Notamacropus eugenii: one gene and its partner. The protein of the gene in region 2 purifies or fractionates together with the protein of the main gene of each other region. This does not show direct contact. Links are inferred from orthologs where the notes say so. Each region holds a gene or a part of one and is shown on either strand. Other genes may lie near its edges.

The links. The genes of interacting proteins can lie anywhere in the genome.
Region 1: the proteins of POP7 (region 2) and RPP38 purify together in Homo sapiens (co-immunoprecipitation; 3 studies listed by BioGRID and IntAct, with this or other methods). This does not show direct contact. The link is inferred for Notamacropus eugenii from reciprocal best matches to the Homo sapiens genes POP7 and RPP38.

Annotation. Positions count from the first base shown.
Region 1 is NC_092874.1:55,693,584-55,702,342, reverse strand, and holds RPP38 (ribonuclease P protein subunit p38), read right to left. Parts: upstream 2,396-8,759; coding exon 1,556-2,395; 3' UTR 1,497-1,555; downstream 1-1,496. UniProt on the Homo sapiens protein: Component of ribonuclease P, a ribonucleoprotein complex that generates mature tRNA molecules by cleaving their 5'-ends. Also a component of the MRP ribonuclease complex, which cleaves pre-rRNA sequences.
Region 2 is NC_092873.1:80,037,641-80,048,434, reverse strand, and holds POP7 (ribonuclease P protein subunit p20), read left to right. Parts: upstream 1-6,063; 5' UTR 6,064-6,189; intron 6,190-6,275; 5' UTR 6,276-6,559; intron 6,560-7,635; 5' UTR 7,636-7,647; coding exon 7,648-8,076; 3' UTR 8,077-9,007; downstream 9,008-10,794. UniProt on the Homo sapiens protein: Component of ribonuclease P, a ribonucleoprotein complex that generates mature tRNA molecules by cleaving their 5'-ends. Also a component of the MRP ribonuclease complex, which cleaves pre-rRNA sequences.

The sequences.
Region 1 (8,759 bases), on a different chromosome or scaffold from region 2:
AATTATTTCTACCCAAAAAGAACCTTTGAAATTTACTATTAAACCCTCTCAACACACAGAGGAGACCTCCAGGAAGAACATCAAAATTCAAACTCCTTGCATATTAGTTGTAAAAATAAAAAACTGACATGCCCCCTTTCTTCATTCACCTGGGTGTTTTCTTTTGTGGCTTTTCAGGTTTTTTTTAATACAGCCGTAGAACATCAGTTTGACAACTGATATTTGCCTCCTTGCATTTCATTTCTTTGTCCGTGTCATTTCTTTGGCATAGTGTTTCATTACATTAATATACCATTATTTATTCAGCCATCATTTATCCAAATGTCATTGGACATTTCAGTTTTTCACTACTGAAAATAAACCAACTATAAGAAAATACATATCAGCTCCCTTTTAAAAATTCTTAAAGTAGGGTGTTCTTAACCTTTGTGTCATGGACCCCTGTAGGAGTGAGATAAATCTTATGGGACCCCTTCTAAGAATGTTTTTAAATATATAGAATAAAATATATAGGAATACAAAGGAAACAAATTACATTGAAAGTCAGCAATTTTTTTTAAAGTAAGTGTACAGACACAGGGTTATGAAACCCTGTTCCAGAAATAGTTGCAGCAACAAAAAACATTTTTGGATTTTTTTTTTAATTTGATATCTCTCTGAATACCACAAGAAAATGTGTTTTTCATGTATTTAAGATTTATGGCATCGGGAACCTTTCATTTTATTTTTAAACTAATTTCCTATAATTCTTATTTAAAAGTATTACTCCCCCTCCCATCTAATCTAGAATATACACAAGTGCCATATTTTATGCAAAATGACTAAAATTAGGCCAAGAAATTAACTCTGGCAGTATGAAGTCTAGCTTTCCCATTCCTCCCTGCATTATATGATACAAACCCATTTTCTCCCAGGCAATCATGTGTTCTTTTTTCCCGACAAGTCCTTCATGAAATGGAAGCCTAAATTAACAAAAATGAATCCACCTCAAGATGTACGATAGAGGGAGAAAATGAACAACCACTTTAAGACACGTACAAAGCATGAATTATGACAACTGATTTCCTTTATCAGCTAAATTCAATACAAATTGATACCCCAAATTTAAAGATTAAGTGGACTGTTTCCAAAAGACCATTTGTAGTCCAGTTTTCTCATGGCTGAGTATATTAGATAAGAATAATGCAGCTATAATGCAATTTTATCTGCACTATGATTAAGAACAACATCTGCTGTGGCAGGATGATTTTGACTGAAAGACAGGTATGATGAAATACAGATGTTCTCACAAACCAGCATCTTACTGGCCTCTTAAAAAGAATTTATATCAGTTTGAACATTTAATAATTTTTTGTTTTTATACTCAGGTTTTTTTTAATAACTGATGCACTCAAATACTGGTTTAAACCTAGATCCGTTTGTGCCCTAACATTTTTTTTTTTTTAACAAGGAACATTTAATGAGCTATAATATAGCAAGGACACATGTAAAAGTAATTCATTTTTAGAAATTAGTTTTAATTATGAAAAATGTTTTACAAATTATGTTTCACACGTTATTTTACAGTGTTTTTTTTATTTTTTGGTGGCTTCCTTATCTTATTGGGATTTGGAATCAGTTTCTTTATTTTTAGGGGCTGTAAAGTTACAGCAGAAGTATCTTGCTGACATTCAACAAGTTTCCGCTTATTCTTAGTAAGTTCTTCAAAGGAGGTTTCTAAAACACTTGTATCTTGCATTTCTAAAGTTTCACATTCTGTATCTTCCAGGGAATCTTTAGTTTTGTCTTGAAGCCATGGCACATGTAAACTAGGTACCCTGGGAATTATAGCTTTTAGTTCGTCAACAAAGGCTTCGGTGTTTTTTTTGAAACCCAGAGCTAGAACACACTTTAAACCAATAACAGGTGCGATGCTATCACTAAGGCGAGGAACCTGGCAAGCAGGTACATCTCTGCTGATGCTCAACTGAATCAAGTGGGAGGTCATCATAGCAGGTTTGACAGATTTGCACACTAGAACTAAAAGAAGTTCATTTTTCTCTAGAGCTCTGGTAACTTCATTAATTCCAATAGCAAGTTGTCTCCTGATATGTACAGGAGTCCATCCTGGTACTTTCTGGCTGATTTCTGTTCCTTTTTGCTTTGGAACTTCATCATTATCAACAGTACCTTTTTCTTTGGTTTGTCTTTTTGAAAAAGGCTGTTTTTTCTTCTTTGGATTCTCAATCTTTTGAAGTCCAACATGTTTAAATCTTTCTTCCAGTGTGTGTAATATGAAGTGCATATCATCTCTTTCCAAAGTACTCCAGTTGATAGCATATGGGTTATTTAGCGATGTCTTTACAGTAAATGATTTTGCTTTTCGTATCGATCCTTTCCCTGATGCTGCAGCCATCTCGAATGTTCCTTGACACCAAAACTATTAAAGAAAGTTAACATTAATTGGGAGCCCTTATTTAAAATAAATGTTTTCAGCAAATATATCTTGTTTGTTGTCTTATTCCGGAATTACCAGTTTTTTAAAAGTCCCATTTTTATAGCCACTCTGTGGAAGACTTTTTCTCTAAAGCAACAGGGTATCACTTTCATTAAAATTTAGCATTACTCTTTCAGTCACAATGAAAATTGTAAACATCAGTCACAGAAAATGATTTGAAATATAAATTACAAACTGCAGTGAACTACACAAATTAGCAAAATTAAAAATGTTTGCTTCTCTGCGTAAATATCTAGCTCTACTTGTAAAAGCGGTAGACCTCCTTTTATTCTTTCTTTCATTTCCTGAGAGAAGGGGATTATTTTTGCTTCTTTGTATCGCCAAAGCCTAGCACTTAATACATAAGAGATACTTGCTGACTAACTACCAGAAAAGATATTGGACTGTATCAAAAACTATTCAAGACTGGGGAAGACACCTGAAACCTGTTAAGCAAGCCTTGCCTTCATTTCTTCCACAAGTCCCACTTTCTGGCCAGCCCTAGTATTTATGTGTATGTGTATATTATATTTGCATATATATGTACATATATGTATATATATATATACACACAAACACGTGTATGTATACACATTTATATTCTTCCATATAAAATTTATCACAGGGCCCTTGATTTCGAACAAGACATTTAAGAGGTAGCCTGCATAATGGAAAGAGCATGGGAACTGAGTCAAGAAACCTGGGTTCTATTTTCTGCTAATTACAGACACAGAGAGGCTGGCAGACAACGAGTTTTCCTTTTCTCAAGTTATTTTTTTGATTTTGGAAAAGAATATAAAACGGTATTCAGTACCTACTCTCAGTACTCTGGTCGAATTAAAGCAATTAACTTAATTAAAAGGTTAAAGCAACTCTTAAATGCAAATGACCAAGTGCTACGCCAAACTAGGGAATAGCTCTAGGGAAAAACAACGCTGGGAGGGCCGTGAGTAAATCTTCTACATTAAAGATTAAGGAAACTTGAGTGAAGTGACCTTAACTCACCCCAGGTGAAAGTGTTCTCTTCCTCCACGTTCTAGTAACAACTTGCCTGGATTATCTCCTTGACACTCCTCTCCCAGGAAAAAACTGGTCTCTCTCTAGGGTGAGGCTTCTTAAACTCCTCCACTCTCCAGCCCTTTAGTACTTCTTAGCCTGTGGGGCTTCCTCACTGCCCATCACAAACAAACCTGCCACCAGAAGCTGGAGTTTCCTTATCCAAACAGCTTCCTCTGGTAGCTTACCGTCCGTACGACGGTATGTCGTGTCCACAGGCACACCTTCTCTCTACTGCTAATTCTACAGGAGACATGGGGGAAAAACCCGTGCACATATATGTGTATATGTGTGTGTGTATACACACATACATTTATGCGTGTAAGTACATAGACGACAGGAACAGATGGAAGCCACGTGCCTGTCTTGTTCATACGTAAAGCCAACAGTGAAGCTATATACTTCGTACGTTGGGTTTCCCTCCCAGGTTATCTCCCGTATCGGAAGGCAAGTTCTCCTTGGGCAGGGGCTAGGTTTTTTTGCTTTTCATCCCATGCCCTTTGCTTGGTGCAGTACCTGGCACACAAGAGGCGCTTAATAAATGCTTGTGCACTCGTTCCCCACCCCCCGCACGCAGGAAGCGCTATGTAAGTGGTGCTGGAGGAACACATGAAGTGTGCTGAGTCGCAAGCCCGGCCGGCGTGGGAAGCGCGGGTGGCCCGAGTAGGCCCGCAAGCCTGGGGCCTCGCCGGTCACTCGCCCTGCGCCGGGCCGCTGCCCTCGGTCACAAGGCCGCCCCGGGCCGGGTGAGAACGAACCCCGGGCCTGAGCCACGCGGCCCTCAAAGACGACAGTCACTGTCTACCCTGGTCCCCTTCCCTCCCCACCGGGCACAGCGCGCACCCCACAGCAGCAGCCCCGCAGGCGCCGGAGCCGACTCACAGTACAAGCTTTCTTCAGCTCCAGCAGTTTTCCCACAAGCCCTGCTTCAGCTTCCAGGTCGCCTCCTAGTGAGCATGCGCAGGCCCGCCCCTTCCCGAAAGAGAAAGGGGAGGAGCTCGCAAATCTCGAGACGGAAACTCTCGCGCGGAACGCAGAACAAAGACCCGCCTCTGCCGGCCTCCAGCCAATAAGAAAGCCAAGCTCGAGACGGATGTGCTTCTTCCCCAGGGTTTTACCGTTAAAGAGCCGGAAGACTAGAGGAACGTGGAGACTTCCTTCCGGGCACTGGGCGCCGGAGGAGTAGGTTGCCATGGTAACCAACCTGCGCCAATCTCCACGGCGACCGCCATCCTCTGACGTGCCCTGAGACTCTCACCACGCCTACTCCTCCACATTTAAAGGGCCCAGTGGTTAATGGCCACTGCCCGCCCTCGCGCCTTTACGCCCAGGGCCGTCTGGACCCCGTAGATTGGTGTGAAATTCTTTGGGGAAGCTGTGTATTCACACCCTTTGACTCCTCTTCTGCGGGGTCCGGCTTTAGGTCTGTTCTCTGGAAGTTTGTTGTCCCGGGTATCTTAGATATTCTGCGGACACGTTAAACGCCCTACTGTGCGCCCGGCCCTGCGCGGAGCCTCCTCCTGCCCCCGAGAAGCCCCCTCTCTAATGGGGGAGAGTGCATGCAAACAGATCTACCCAAGGCAAGCTTTATGCCGGACAGATAGACGGTAAAGCGCCGGCCCTGGGAGGCTTCCTGCCGAAAGGGGAGAGGTCGGTGGGCCTTCTCCTTGAGATCGATCGCCTCCCATTTACAATGTGTATACCTTTTTTTTTTTTGTACGTAATTGTCTACTTGTCGAGCTCCTCGAGACCAGAGACTTTTAGCTTTTTTGTGTATCCCAGGCACACAGTAGGTGCTTATTAAATGCTCATTTATTTGACTTATAAGAGACTTGATAACAAATATTTTTGCCCGGTTCATTCTGTTACTTTTCAAGTTGCGATGCTACAATGTATCTAGCATTTTTCCAGTTATCGTTAAATCGTTTCCTTCGGTGATCTCTAAATTCTCATCATCCTCTAAAAATGTGCCCCTAATGGGGCAGCAGGGCGCTGGTGTGTCATGAGTTGCCCCCAGCCATGTGCGTTCTACGCCCATAACTTTTCATGCATGTTCTCTGGCCACCTTTGTTCCCTGGATGTGTGATCCTCACTCAAAACAAAGTCAAGTGCAAATTATCCATCATTTCTCTGATGTCACGGTCTTCTTTGAAAAGGAAGGACGAACACAGACAGACAGACCCTCTACATATGTCTTCTAATCACTTAATCCTTTCCCAACTAGTAATATAGTAATCTTTCTTGTTACTTGTGCTATGCCATTTAATTAAGCAAATTTCACTTCACTTGGAACTAATGCATTCTCTGTCCTGTCTTCACAGACTTGTTGTGAAGCTCAAATGAGATAATACATGTAAAATACTCTATAAGAGCACTCCACTCATGTACTTTGCAAATATTATTTAGTTGGAAGAGGAAGAGGATAGCTAATAAAAGTAAAGTCGTAGTTTTGTGTAAATGCTGATCTACAAACTAGGAGTAGTTTTCTGGAGCCCAGATGCAAGGAGGCTCTGAGTACTACACTTGAATCAGTCCTTTCCTGTGATAACCTTTCCTCAAGGAAGGGCAGTGATCAAAGAAGTGGTAAAGTCATTTCTGGATATTTTTCTTGATGTCCATATAAGATGCTCCCAGAGTGGTAGTTAGGTGGCACAAAGGAGAGAATTGTGAGGATCTGAGTTGGAATCCTGCCTCAGATAATTAACAGCTCTATGGCCCTGGTCAAGTCACTTAACCACTTTCAGTCTGAATTTCTTCATCTGAAAAGTGAGGACCTCTAAGAGTTATCATTGTAAAATGAGATAACATATGTGCACTTTGTAAACATTAACATGCTATATAAATGCTAGCAATTATTCCATATAGCACATAAATACATGGGCTATCCCTAAGCAGAGCAGGCTCCCTGGCCAGAAGGATTTATGACAGAAGGCATAGACCAGCCAACCCTTCTATACAGTAGAAATGCTAATCGTGTTTAACTTTCATAATATAACAACAGGCAGATATTCAATAAACACAACAGCTGACTTTCCATCATTGAGGGCTATATCATCTGATTATCAGCCAATTAGTCAATAAGCTGGGTCTTGAAGTCAGGGAGACCAGGAGGCTAACATGATGAGGGAGAGTGTTCCAGATCAGGGTGACAGCCAGTGAGAAGATGGAGAGTCAGGAGGATCCACTAGAAGGCCAGTGTCACTGGATGGTAGATTTCTTGGAAAGGAGTAAAGCATAAGAAGACTGGGAAAGTAGGAAGGGGCTAGGATTTGAAGGACTTTACAAACTGTCCAGCTCTCTTCTTCCTCCTGGACATTTGGCCAAGTTACTACTCATGAACACAAGAGAAGATACAAGGGAGAAGGGGAAAGAAAAGGATCTAATTCAAGTTCATGTGTTTATGGACTCCTACAATGTGAGCCCTTAAAATATCTCTAATGAATCTATATAATTCAACATTTCCATTTTATAGATAAAGAAACAGAGGCCAAGGGAAGGGAAATGACTCTTCCAAGGTTATAGAACAAACAAGTAGCATAGACTCCACTAAAACCACAATTTCCTAACTCCCAGTCCTGATCTCTTTAAATGACAAGATTTCGCTTCTCCAGTTTGGTAAATGATTCAGCTGGGAAGGAGAATGATTCAGGCTTGAGGGGTTGGGGAGAGGGTGGCAGTTCTCTGTGGATTTCATTTATCTTTGCTCTTCCTGTTCACTGAGTTGGTTAATTGACCAGGCAGAAATTCTCTTTGCTATGGGGAGAAGGGGGAGGGGAAGCAGTTTTCCTTTGGGCTTTGAGAATGAGAAACTGTTTACTAGCATCATTTTCTCATATTTTCCTGAGGCCTTTTACCAGCAGATGGAAGCGGAGCAGCAGGACTGAAATTCTGCATGTGAGAACTCCAGCCTGCCTCCCAGCTGTGCTCAGCCTCCAGAGAAGTTTCAGTACAACATTAAGAACAGGAACATGTCCTTCTCATAGTTGTGGTGGTGAAGAAGGAACACTACCCTCCATCTGAGACTTTTTGTTTGCATAACAAAAATGTTTGAGTGGCATTTGGCTAGTGGTCAAACTCCATCGTGCTCAAATAACCATCACTTCCATTTCTATAGCACTTTATGATCATCTCGATTCTCACAACTGCCCTAGAAGGTGTGTGATTAAGGAAATTTATGGTTCAGATTCGCACCTACAATAAGGCACATTTGAGAAGAAGAAGCTGGATATTTTATTGATTTACAGAACAGGCATGAACAGTTTAGAGCTACAGCAGAAATAATTAATATAGCCTAGTACTAATATAATTATAGCAATATTAATACAGATATGAGGAAATAGAAAAGCATCACCAATTCAGGGAAGCACCAACACCTGAATTTTGTCAGCTGGGGAATCCCGGGATACAGCTTTCCGGGTCTGAATTGGGAGCAAGTGGTCCCAGGAAGAGCGTCCTCTCCATGGGTGAGATTCCGAGGACTTACACTAGGTGGGGGGACTTTATAGGGATCTGGACAAAGAAGGCTTTTTGCCAATGGCCCCATGTACCATTCCAAGCTGGTCAGGCACACGGCCATGGGAGTACGGATGTTTGTTCGTCAAGGACATATCATACGGGGGCCACAAGATATAAGTTAATTAATCATATATTGGGAGGACTAGCCAGATCCTCCAAGTATTATCTATGTGTTCCAGGAGTGGCTAGTTCCCAAAACATTAATACATGGCCAACTTGCGCATGCTATGTTCCTTGAGAGGTGACCAAAAGGATAGAGTGAACTTACTTTATTCAAGGGATATGAAATATTCCTTCAGAAGGGTATTCTATCCAGCAGTCACCTAGCAGTCTTTATTTCCATTCCAAACCCAGTCCCTCTACTTAGAGACTTCAATATACATACGCTTGTCCTCTTAAATACCCTAGCCTTGCCATTCATTAGTTTTCTGAACTCTCTGGACCTTCCTCTTCACTTCTACCTCAGTCACACAAAGATGGTCACAACTCAGTTTCTGATTGACTTCATAGCTTATCCTCTACATCTGTTCCAATTCTTCTCTTCTCTCCTCAGGTCACCTGTACTACTCCCAACTGCTTCCCATCCACTCCAGGAGAGTACCTCCCCTCTTATTTTAGAAAAAAATAGAGTCCCCTACCTACCCCTGTATTTTCTACTCAATTTTGTCCCTCAACCCCCTCAGTATCACCTCCATTCTCTTCTTCTTTTGTC
Region 2 (10,794 bases):
AGTTGCTAGATCTTGGGTTATCCTGGTTGTATTTCCACAATACTCGAATTGTTTCTTTCTGACTGCTTGTAATATTTTCTCCTTGACCTGGGAACTCTGAAATTTGGCTACAATATTCCTAGGAGGTTTTCTTTTTGGATCTCTTTCAGGAGGTGATCTGTGCATTCTTTCAATATTTATTTTACCCCCTGGTTCTAGAATATCAGGACAGTTTTCCTTGATAATTTCATGAAAGATGATGTCTAGGCTCTTTTTTTGATCATGGCTTTCAGGTAGTCCCATAATTTTTAAATTGTCTCTTCTGGATCTATTTTCCAGATCAGTTGTTTTTCTAATGAGATATTTCACATTATCTTCTATTTTTTCTTTCTTTTGGTTTTGTTTTGTAATTTCTTGATTTCTCATAAAGTCATTAGCTTCCATCTGTTCCATTCTAATTTTTAAAGAACTATTTTCTTCAGTGAGCTTTTGAATCTCCTTTTCCATTTGGCTAATTCTGCTTTTTAAATCATTCTTTTCCTCATTGGCTTTTTGGACCTCTTTTGCCATTTAAGTTAGTCTATTTTTAAAGTTGTTATTTTCTTCAGCATTTTTTGGGGTCTCCTTTAGTAAGCTATTGACTCACTTTTCATGATTTTCTTGCATTGCTCTCATTTCTCTTCCCAATTTTTCCTCCACCTCTCTTACTTAATTTTCAAAATCCTTTTTGAGCTCTTCCATGGCCTGAGACCATTGCATATTCATTTCAGAGGTTTTGGATGCAGAAGCCTTGACTTTCATGTCTTCCTCTGATGGTATGCGTTGTTCTTCCTCATCCAAAAGGATGGAAGAAAATGCCTGTTCACCAAGAAAGTAACCTTCTATAGTCTTATTTTTTTCCTTTTTTGGGCATTTTCCCAGTCAGTTACTTGACTTTTGAGTCCTTTGAGGGCATACTCTAGGGACCTGTAAGTTCTCAGTTCCTCCAAGGTGGCACAATCAAGGGAGAGGAATTTACTCCTCTTCTGGCCTGCACACTGGTCTGGGAGCAACCCAAAGTTTTTCTGCCCAGGATCTGTGAGTAGAATTCTCTCTCCAGAGCCTCCACCAGCTCCATCAGCCAGTGCTTTTCCTCACCCAGGAGCACCACTCAGGGCTGAGATCCAGATCAGTGGCTCAGTTTCCCCAGGGTCTTTAGGCCAAGGGCTCCAAAAATGGATGCTACTGCCACCTGGGGCTGCCTGGGGCTGGGGTTAGGGCAGGACTCTGCTCCCTGCTCACTGGGGTGAGCTTTCTCACAGACCTTGGAAGCTGTCTTTGGCATTAGTGGTTTGAGTAATCTGGGAACCACACCTGCTACCTGGGATTCTGCACCCTGAAGTCTGCTTCAGTTCTGTCCAAGCTGCATGTCCAAGTCTGGGCTGTGCTTCGTGAGCTGTGCTCTGCCCCAAGCCTGGTGCGATAGACCCTTCCTGTTGGCCTTCCAGGCTGTCTTGGGCTGGAACTCTCCTTCACTCTTGTCGTTTTGTGGCTTCTGCTGCTCTAGAATTTTCCGAAGTAGGATTTTTTGCTCTTTTTTCTGTATTGAATTTTAGCCAATCATGTGCCTTTGATTGAAACAATCAAGAATCTTTTATTTAAAACAGTATATATATTGTATTGCTTACCAGAAGAGAGAGAAGCAGAGATGACAGAGAAGCAGCTGTGAGCAGTCTAGGGGAGCTTGCTTGTGGGGATGCTTAGCAGAAAGAATGTTTGTGGTGTCAGTGCTCTGTCTGTTGATCTGTGTTAATTTCTCAGACAGAAGCCTTTTCTGTTGGTCTGTGTTGATATCTCAGACAGAGGCCCTGTCTGTTGGTCATTATGAGTGAATTGAGATGATGGCACTTGTAATATGTATGAATATTGTTATAACCCTTTTAAGTTTTGTTTTCCTAGAAACAGAAGTTGTGGGCAGGAGCCTCTGGAGCCTGCTATCAGGCAGAAGCAGAAGGAGTTTGGAGTGGAACAGTCCCTGTGACCTGAGACAAGGAGCAGGAGCACAGAGCTGCCTGCATATGAACCCAGGCAAGAGTTGGAAGTGGCCAACTCACACATGAAGAGCCATGGCAGTTGGAAGTCAGCCTCAAGTCAAGATGAGAGAGAACTTTACTTGAACACCGGGTATTGATTAAGAAGATTGTTCTTATAGTGACGTAGGGGTGTATGGTGTGATATTTTCTGCTACTCCTTAAGGATGCATTGTGCTAGGGAAGACCCAAGCCTGGGACCCTCTGACTTTGGGGATGTAATGGTAAATGCTATGTGCCATATGACATACTGAATGTTTTGAGATACATATATGTATTAGATGGTATGTTTTGCTTAAGGATGTTGGTATGAATGTTATGCTTTACTTTATTGAACAATGCTTAGTTTGTTGCTGAATAAATAGAGAGTCCATTATATTATTCGGTTAGACCCTTAAAAAATCATTCACAGCAGCTGTGTGTGCTCAGGTGTGCTGCCATGACTGGCTTTACAGGTATCTTCTCTTTTTTTGAGACTAAATTTGTTCTTATACTTTCATAATATTAATTTTGGATTATTTTGTGCTTGTTTTTTCCCATTTATATTGTTCAGTTAATTTGTATATTGTTTTCCTAGTCCTGCTTATTTCATTTTGCTTCAATTCATGTCAGTCTTTTCACACTTCTCTTTATTCATTGTGTTTATCATTTCCTACAGCACTGTAATATTTCATTATATTCATATACCACAATTTGTCTAGCCATTCCACAATTGATAGGCTTCTACTAGGGGTGGAGAACCTGAGGCCTTGAGGCCACATGAAGCCCTCAAGGCCCTCAAGTGTGACCCTTTGACCGAATCCAAACTTCACAGAACAAATCCCCTTAATAAAAGGATTTGTTCTATAAAACTTGGACTTAGTCAAAAAGCCACACCTAAGGACCTAGAGGGCTACAAATGGCCTCAAGGCTGCTTGTTCCCCACCTCTTTGCATCTACTTTCTTTTTGGTTTTGTGATACCACAAAAAGAGCTCCTATAAATATTTTATTTTATATAGAGCCTTTATTTTAGTTAATATCTTCCTTGAGGTATATGTCTAACAGTGGAATCTCTGGGTCAAAAAGTATGGACATTTTTTTTCTAATATGCCACCCTCCTCTCTTTCAATGGATGAGGTCATCCCATTCACTTTCACAGTTAAGATAGTTGTGTATTTCTCACTATCCTGTACTCTCTCCTTTCTTTGCCCTTCTATCCCACTCTTTACAAAGAATAAGGTGTGGAGAGTGGAGTGAGTTCCATACTAGGCACTTTTTTGTTGTTCAATTTGGGGTTTTCTTGGCAAATATGCTGGAGTGGTTTGCTGTTTCCTTCTCCAGCTCATTTTACAGATGAGGAACTAAGGCAAACAGGGTTAAGTGACTTGTCCATGGTCACAAAGCTAGTAAATGTCTGGGGCCAGATTTGAACTTAGGAAGATGAGTCTTCTCAATTACAGTTCTAGCACTACACTACCATACTAGGCACTAGGGATCTGTATTTAATGAAATTAGCTTTTGTTCCACTGGTCTTTTTTTTCCTCTTGCTTAGCCACTGATCACGTTTTTACAACTTTTTTTTCTTTTAAGCTCCACTTCAGAATCTGCCTTGTGAGGTTGGCATTTGTTTTGAGTATGGCTATCTACCCTGAATCTATCTTCTCCTCCCTCTTAATCCCCACTTTTCCTTTCTCAGTATTTCTACAATAAGCCCTCTGTGTGTGCACACATGTGTGTGTCTGTGTTTATGTGCATTTTCAGCCCTTCTTTGTCTAGTTGAGATAAAAGTAAAGTTCTACTTCTCTAGTGCATGCATAAGAAATGTTAGTCTTTCCTGGGACAGATATATTTTTAAATTGTCAGGATCCCTATGCCAAGACTATCCCTCTGTTTTTACTATTAGGAGACACCCTGTTGCCCAGCAAACTGTGCCCTGAGCTTGGCATAACAACCATCCTTTGTGCTCACCCTCTGGATGAACTCTGCTGCAGCAAAATCCCAGAATTGTTTCACATGAGCCCCAGCTGGTCTCCAAGCTTGAACAAGCACCTGCAGGAACCATGTTTCAGTCATGAAGCCTCTGCTAGGAATCAAATTTGTCTCATTGTTGCTGTTACCACCAAATTGTCACTGCTACTGTGTTGTCACTATTATATGTATTAAGGTTTGGCCTTGCTAAAGCAGCTCTCCTAGAGGAGGCCTTAGTTTTACCTTCCTACATGAAATACAGAAATCTTTTTGCTTATTAGCTCTTTGATTTTATTTTATTTTTTATTTTATTATTATTTTATTTTTCAGAGTTAACAGTATTACCTCTCTGAGCTCTTTGGTATTTTCCAGAGTTAATAGTAGTTGTGTAACTTCTATATTCTTTGGTCATTTATTTTCAGGGTTTGACAGGGTTCCCCATGCTGAGGTTCCTCCAAACTTCCAGTTCTTTCTGGATGACTCAATTCCTGAACCTCATCTTCCTCTTCATAAATGACCTCTACCAATGCCTCTTTCAGAATTATATGAAACTTAGGAAACAGTGGGAATGGAGAGCATCATGGCCATGACAGAGAATATTTGGGTCACCTTGGAAGAGTCTCTTATTCTCTCTAGGTCTCTGTTAACTGAGCTATGAAAAGGGAATATCACCAACTCTGCTTACCTAATACCTAGCATTTATGTAGTGCCTACTATGTGCCAGGTACTTGACAATTATCATTTGATCCTCACAGCAATGTTAGGAGGTAGGTGCTATAATTTTGTTCTACAGATAAGGAAACTGAGGTAGAGGTTAAGTCCAGGGTCACACTGTATCTGAGGTCAGGATTTTGAGAAAAATTACTTTTCTTATTACAGGAAGAACCAATTTTATATACAGGGCCCAAAGAGCCTCTCTTTTTCTCTTACTCATTCAAAGCCTAGCCTCTCAAGTACCTTTCTGACCTTACTCAAAAATTCACCCTACCAAAACCATCTTGTCTTCGTGGAATTCTAACTGTAAACCCCACTATTGTTCTACTCAGGTAGGACTGGCTGGAGAAGAGTCTCTTTGTCCCCTACATGATCAAAGTCACTACCCTTTAGAAAAAGTCCACCTCTCATTATAATATTAATTTTCTCATTAATTGTTAACCAGTCAGAGTTGACTTTGTCAACTAAGTGAAAACCACCCTTCAAAATGCAGAGACTTCCAAGCTGGGTTGAAAGCTGAAATTTTATTAGAAGGAAAATCATCCACTAGTTCTGAAGTCCCTAGTACAAGGTACAAAGGACCTCACAGCCCAAGAGTAGCAGGAGAGATTATGCTTGAAAACTACAAAGGAGAGGTTCAGGGGTAGGTTGGGAAAAGAACGGACAATCTTTCCCAGGAACAGGTGGACATACAAGCAATATGCTTTGCAGGAACTGTTGACTGCATGACTGGTTTGGACCAGTGGGGGTGGGGTGGGTCGGCACAATTCAGCAAGGTCAGTCAGCAACATCAATAAAAAGGCATCTGGGAGTGAGCCCGACTTTGGCTCACTGCAGGCTGCTGATTGGCTCCTTTTAGCAAAAAAGCTTACTTTGCGTCCAGTGCATCTGCATGGCAAGGTAACTCATAGAAAACAGACGTACTAATTTCAGGGCTCTTTCCACAATTTTCATCTTCAGAGACACTCCCTTTTCCAAGGATAATTAAACATTCAGCAGCCTCCCACTTGGGGAGGGAAAGGGTCTTTGGTTTCCCCTAGGACCACTGCCCTCAATTTATGTGACAGCCTAAATAATAAATTGATTATTAATAACCCAGAAACTCTTGTCTCTTGGGTTTTTCATTAGGCCTGGAGATGAATCCACTGAGTATCCACCTCACAGGGTTCTTGCATCACACATGAGATCATATGTGAAAATATTTTGTAAAGCGCCACGCATGTGGTAAGGATGCTAATTAACCTAACGCTTGGCATTGGAGTCAACCTTTAAGGTGCCCCAGGGATGAAGGCTGGCAACGATGGGTTCCACGTGGGCCTTCCCTGATTTGGCCTGAACGCCCGGGGCTGTGCCAATTCACCAGACAGCTCGGCCGCTTCCTCCAGGGAGGATGCCCCCAGGTTCCCCCCTTCTCCCTCGCATAGCAAAGGCACATCAAGTCAGCAAGGAGGTCCCCCTCCGGCCCCACCGCCCCTGCAGGTAAACTCAAGCCCCTACAAGGCCCCCACGCCGCCCTCTTCTTTTGAGCCCCGCCCTCCTTTCACGTGGTGCTTTCTTCCACGCAGGAGAGCGCATCATCCTTTTAGAAACCTCGCGAGATTTCAAAATCCACGAGCCGAAGGAGGAGAGAAGGGAGGGAGAAACCCAAGAAGGGGGCAGACGATTGGTGAAGACGGAGGGGGAGGTTTAACCCTCTGGTGTCGGGCGCGCATGTGCGTTGTTCCTCACGCTCTGGGAGCCCGGCGCTGCTTCCATACTGCTGTGGCTGCCTCCCCTCTGGACCACTCCTTCCCTGAGCTGCTTCTGGCGGGTCAGCACCCGGGGAGGAAGGCGCTCCCTTCCCCAGTGGGTGAGTGCCGGTGTTGGGTTAGAGTGGGGCTGGGACAGCTGGAAGCTGGAGAGGGTGTGTGTGTGTCTGTGTGTGGTGTATTTGGTGTAGGTTGTGGTCTTTGTGGTTGGGGAGGGGGGGGGTGTAGCTTGTTGTAGGTGTATGATCTTTTTGTGATGTGTGTGAGTGTGAAGTGGGTAATGTGTATATGGGTGTATGTGGTGTGTAATGGTATATGTGTGTATATGGTTTGTATGTTTGTGGAATGTGTGGGTGTGCTTTGTGTACCTGAGTATAGGTGTGTTAGTGTAGGTGGGAAACCAAATTGGGTGAAGGCTGATAAATGAAGTGTATAAATATATAGATAGAGCCATATCTCTTATATTATCCATCTGTCAGGCAGTGTTGGGAATTTGGGGGAAGCTTAGTGATCTTTGAGCCCAGGATACCTGGGTTCTTGTCTCACTCCTGCTGACAGGTGGGGGGGAAGGGGTGCAGGATGGTAACTGAGTCTCTTTTAACACTTTGTGTTATCTCTTCGGTATGGTAGTTATTTTGAGGCCAAGTGAAATTGTACCAAGTACTTTGTAACCATAAAATGCTACATACTTATAAGTATCTGCTACTCTGTCCTAATGAAAACTCTACTGGGCTGGGAGTCAGAGAGACTGACGAGACCTACTATTAAGTATCGGTGTGATCTTTGGCAAGACCCTTCTAAGCATCAGTTTCCTTATCTGTAAAAGGAGTCGTGATAGTCTAGATCAGGGGTTCTTAATCTGGGATCCATGAACTTTTAAAAATATTTTCATAATTGTATATTAATATAATTGGCTTCCTCCGTAATCCTGTGCATTTTATATTATACACTTAAAAGCATTGTTTTGAGAAAGGATCCATGGGCTTTGCCAAACTGCCAAAGAGGTCCCTACACACTCAAAAAAAGTGTATCTCAAATATCTTCTAGATCTAGCATTTTTAGATTATGTAGAAGAATGAATAGGGAAAAGTTCATTATGTGTGCTCCTCCTCAAGTTCTCATCCTGAGGCACATGGGATCCAATTTAGCTGACTCCTTTCCTCCCATGTATTCACAGGACACAGGAGCTATGGCCGAGAATGGAGAACCATGGGGAGCCAGTGAGGCTGAACTGGACCCAGTGGAGTACACTCTTCGAAAGCGGCTTCCCCACCGTCTCCCCCGAAGACCAAATGACATCTATGTTAACATGAAGACTGACTTCAAGGCGCAGCTGGCTAGGTGTCAGAAACTTCTGGAGGGTGGTGGAGGGGGTAGGGGACAGGGTGGCTGTCCTGAGATTTACATTCATGGCCTCGGCCTGGCCATTAATCGGGCCATCAACATTGCCCTGCAGTTGCAAGCGAGCAGCTTTGGGGCCTTGCAAGTGGCTGCCAACACCTCCACTGTGGAGCTGGTGGATGAGTTGGAGCCTGAGACTAACACTCGGGAGCCATTAACCCGAACCCGAAATAACTCGGCCATCCACATTCGGGTCTTCCGTGTTACACCCAAGTAGCTGGAACAAAGTTCTACTGTTTTCTCAGCTGGATAGTCATATCTTCCTCTCTAAATTTTTCTGGGCCATGGTTCTCGTTTTCATTTTTCATACTCTGGGCTTTCGGGGATCTCAGTTCCCTCCCCACCCTTCAGGATATTAGAGAGAAGTCCTGTTGTGGGTTTTTCAACTTTCTGCCACCAACTCTAGAGAAGGCCATTGGTTTAGGCTCCTGAAATAAAAAAGACTCTGTGTGAGGGAAAAGTTTATGTTCTGTTTCTTGTTTGGGCCTAAGTAGTGAGTTTTTTTTCAAAAGCCAGAATTTTCTGTATTTCTTTTTCTGACCTTTCTCTATCACTGTGTTACTGTCACTCTGTAGTCTTTCCCCCTATAGGGTTCCTGGCCAACATAAGGGAATGGGATGTTTCATTTCCTGTCTATGAAGCTTTCCTTTTGATTCACCATGTACTTTGCTTTGATGGATCCATATTTCCCCCCATTGCTTTCTCATTCTGCTTCATAAATCCTCCACAGATGATAAATTAATGAAAAAATATTGAATAAACTCTTACGATGTGCTAAATGCCAGGGACATAAAATAGAAAAGTGAGAGACTCTTGTTCTCAGAGTTCATTCACGGTCCAAGTAGGAGACATAGGAAAAGGGTTCAGCTGTAGTACACATGTAAAGACCTGGTCCTTAAGGTGCAGCAAGAGTGCAGATAATATGAATATACCTAACATGCTGGAGGCCTTGCTGTATCTCAGGAGTACTAATATATTAGTATTACCCATTACTTGTTATTCATTTTTTAAAATGATTGTGAACTAGAAAATCATGACCACTTCCATATACAAGGATGTCAAGAAAATGAGGGTTGTTATGAAACAGTCTTCTATGTATAATTTGTTCTTTTTAAAAATATATATTAAATTTAACATGGGAATACTAACACTTCCTGCTTGTCTGTGTCCACCTCTGAGCCCTATTCTTCTGGTTTCCTTATTTTTTAAATATATCATTCACCCTCTCTCCTCTCATCCTCCTTTTTTTCATGTTGTCTCATTTTTCCTCCCAATTCTTCCCTGCTTTTCTTTGTAACAAAAGTATAGTCAAAGTTATGGGATCACATTTAGACAAATTTGTCTTTACCTTTAATCTATTTTCTTCACGAAGAAGTAGGTGAGGGTCATGCTTCATCAGTCTTCTAGAGTCATGATTGATCAGTGCATTGATAAAAAGTTCTTAACTCTGCTGAAGTTGTTCTTGTTAATATTATAAGATAAAAATAGTTCTGGTTCTACTCATTTCACTGCATCAGTTCAAATTTTCCCAGGTTTCGTTTCCTTAGTAGCTTTTATCATCTCCTATTGTGCATTCATATACCCATAATTTGTTCAGCTCTCCCAATCGAGGAACATCCCCTTAATTTCTTTGGTATAACAAAAAGTGTTGCTATTAATATTTTTGTACATATGCATTCTTTTCTTTCTTTTCGGTATGCCTAACCCTAGCATATCCCTATGTCAAGTAATATGCATGGATTTTATTTCCAAATAGCTTTCCAGAATGGATGGATCAACAGTTTATCCATCTCATTTGTTGTCTGGCATAAAACTTGGCAAAATGGTTTCTGATTCCTTTACTTTGGGTATTGGCAGCAAATATTCAGTAAATGATGATCAGTAAATATTAATAATTCAGTTTTTCTGTACTTGTGCAGTTTTATGCCCTAATTTAATACGTGGACAGTTTAAAGAAAAAATGTCATGCACTTTATGTTCCCATTTAGTAATCATCATAGAGTTTCCATATTAACTTTTCTAAGTCTTAGATTCTTTATTATTTAAGTTTGTGTTAGATTTGCCCAAGACTGAAAGGAAGTCCTTAGCTAATTCCTGCTAATTTTTTTTCCTGCTAATTCGATTAATTTTTCTTTCAAATACTTAAATGTTGTGCCATTTAGTGTGTACCTATTAAGTACTGATATTATCTATGGTGCCTTTAAGTATAATTTTATTGTTGCCTTGTCTAAGATCATGATTGCTATGACTTTTTTAGAAAATTCCTGAAGCATAATAAATTCTGCTCTAGCATCCTGTTTTAATTCTGTATGAATATTTCTGTTTCAGGTACATTTCTTATAAACAACATATTGCTGAATTTTTCTTTCCAATTCCAATTTTTCTTTCCCATTTTTAATGAATGACTCATCTATTCTCTTCCATTTCATAGATAAGTTTATCCCTTTCATATTCACAATCATGACTGATGTTGTTCTTATTGTGTATTTTCCTCCCCCACATCCTCTACTTTTTCTTCTTTATTTCTCAGCCCCCTTTCTACAAAGAACAGTATAGAGAAACTGCAGGAATCGGATAATCTGTAATTGAAACTACCACTGTTCCTACTTCTCTGCCTCTCCTCTCATCGCCAAAGTTTCAACCTTGATATTTGGTTTTTAGACTTATATAAAAAATCACCCCCACCCCTGTGATCAACTTTCCAAAACTGAAATTTATTTTGTTGTCTACTGCGACTACTTTATTACTCTCCTCTCCTCTTTCCCTCACTCTCCCTGTATATTTGTAGACTTAAATATATTTCTGCACCAAATTCTGTATTCAGTTCACCTTTACCTGATCTGATAGGAAAGGTCATGGGATACTTGCTTCCCTTAACCTTCTCTCTGTCTACTCTTCTCCCTCACCCCATTTATATGAAATAGTAAATTCTTTC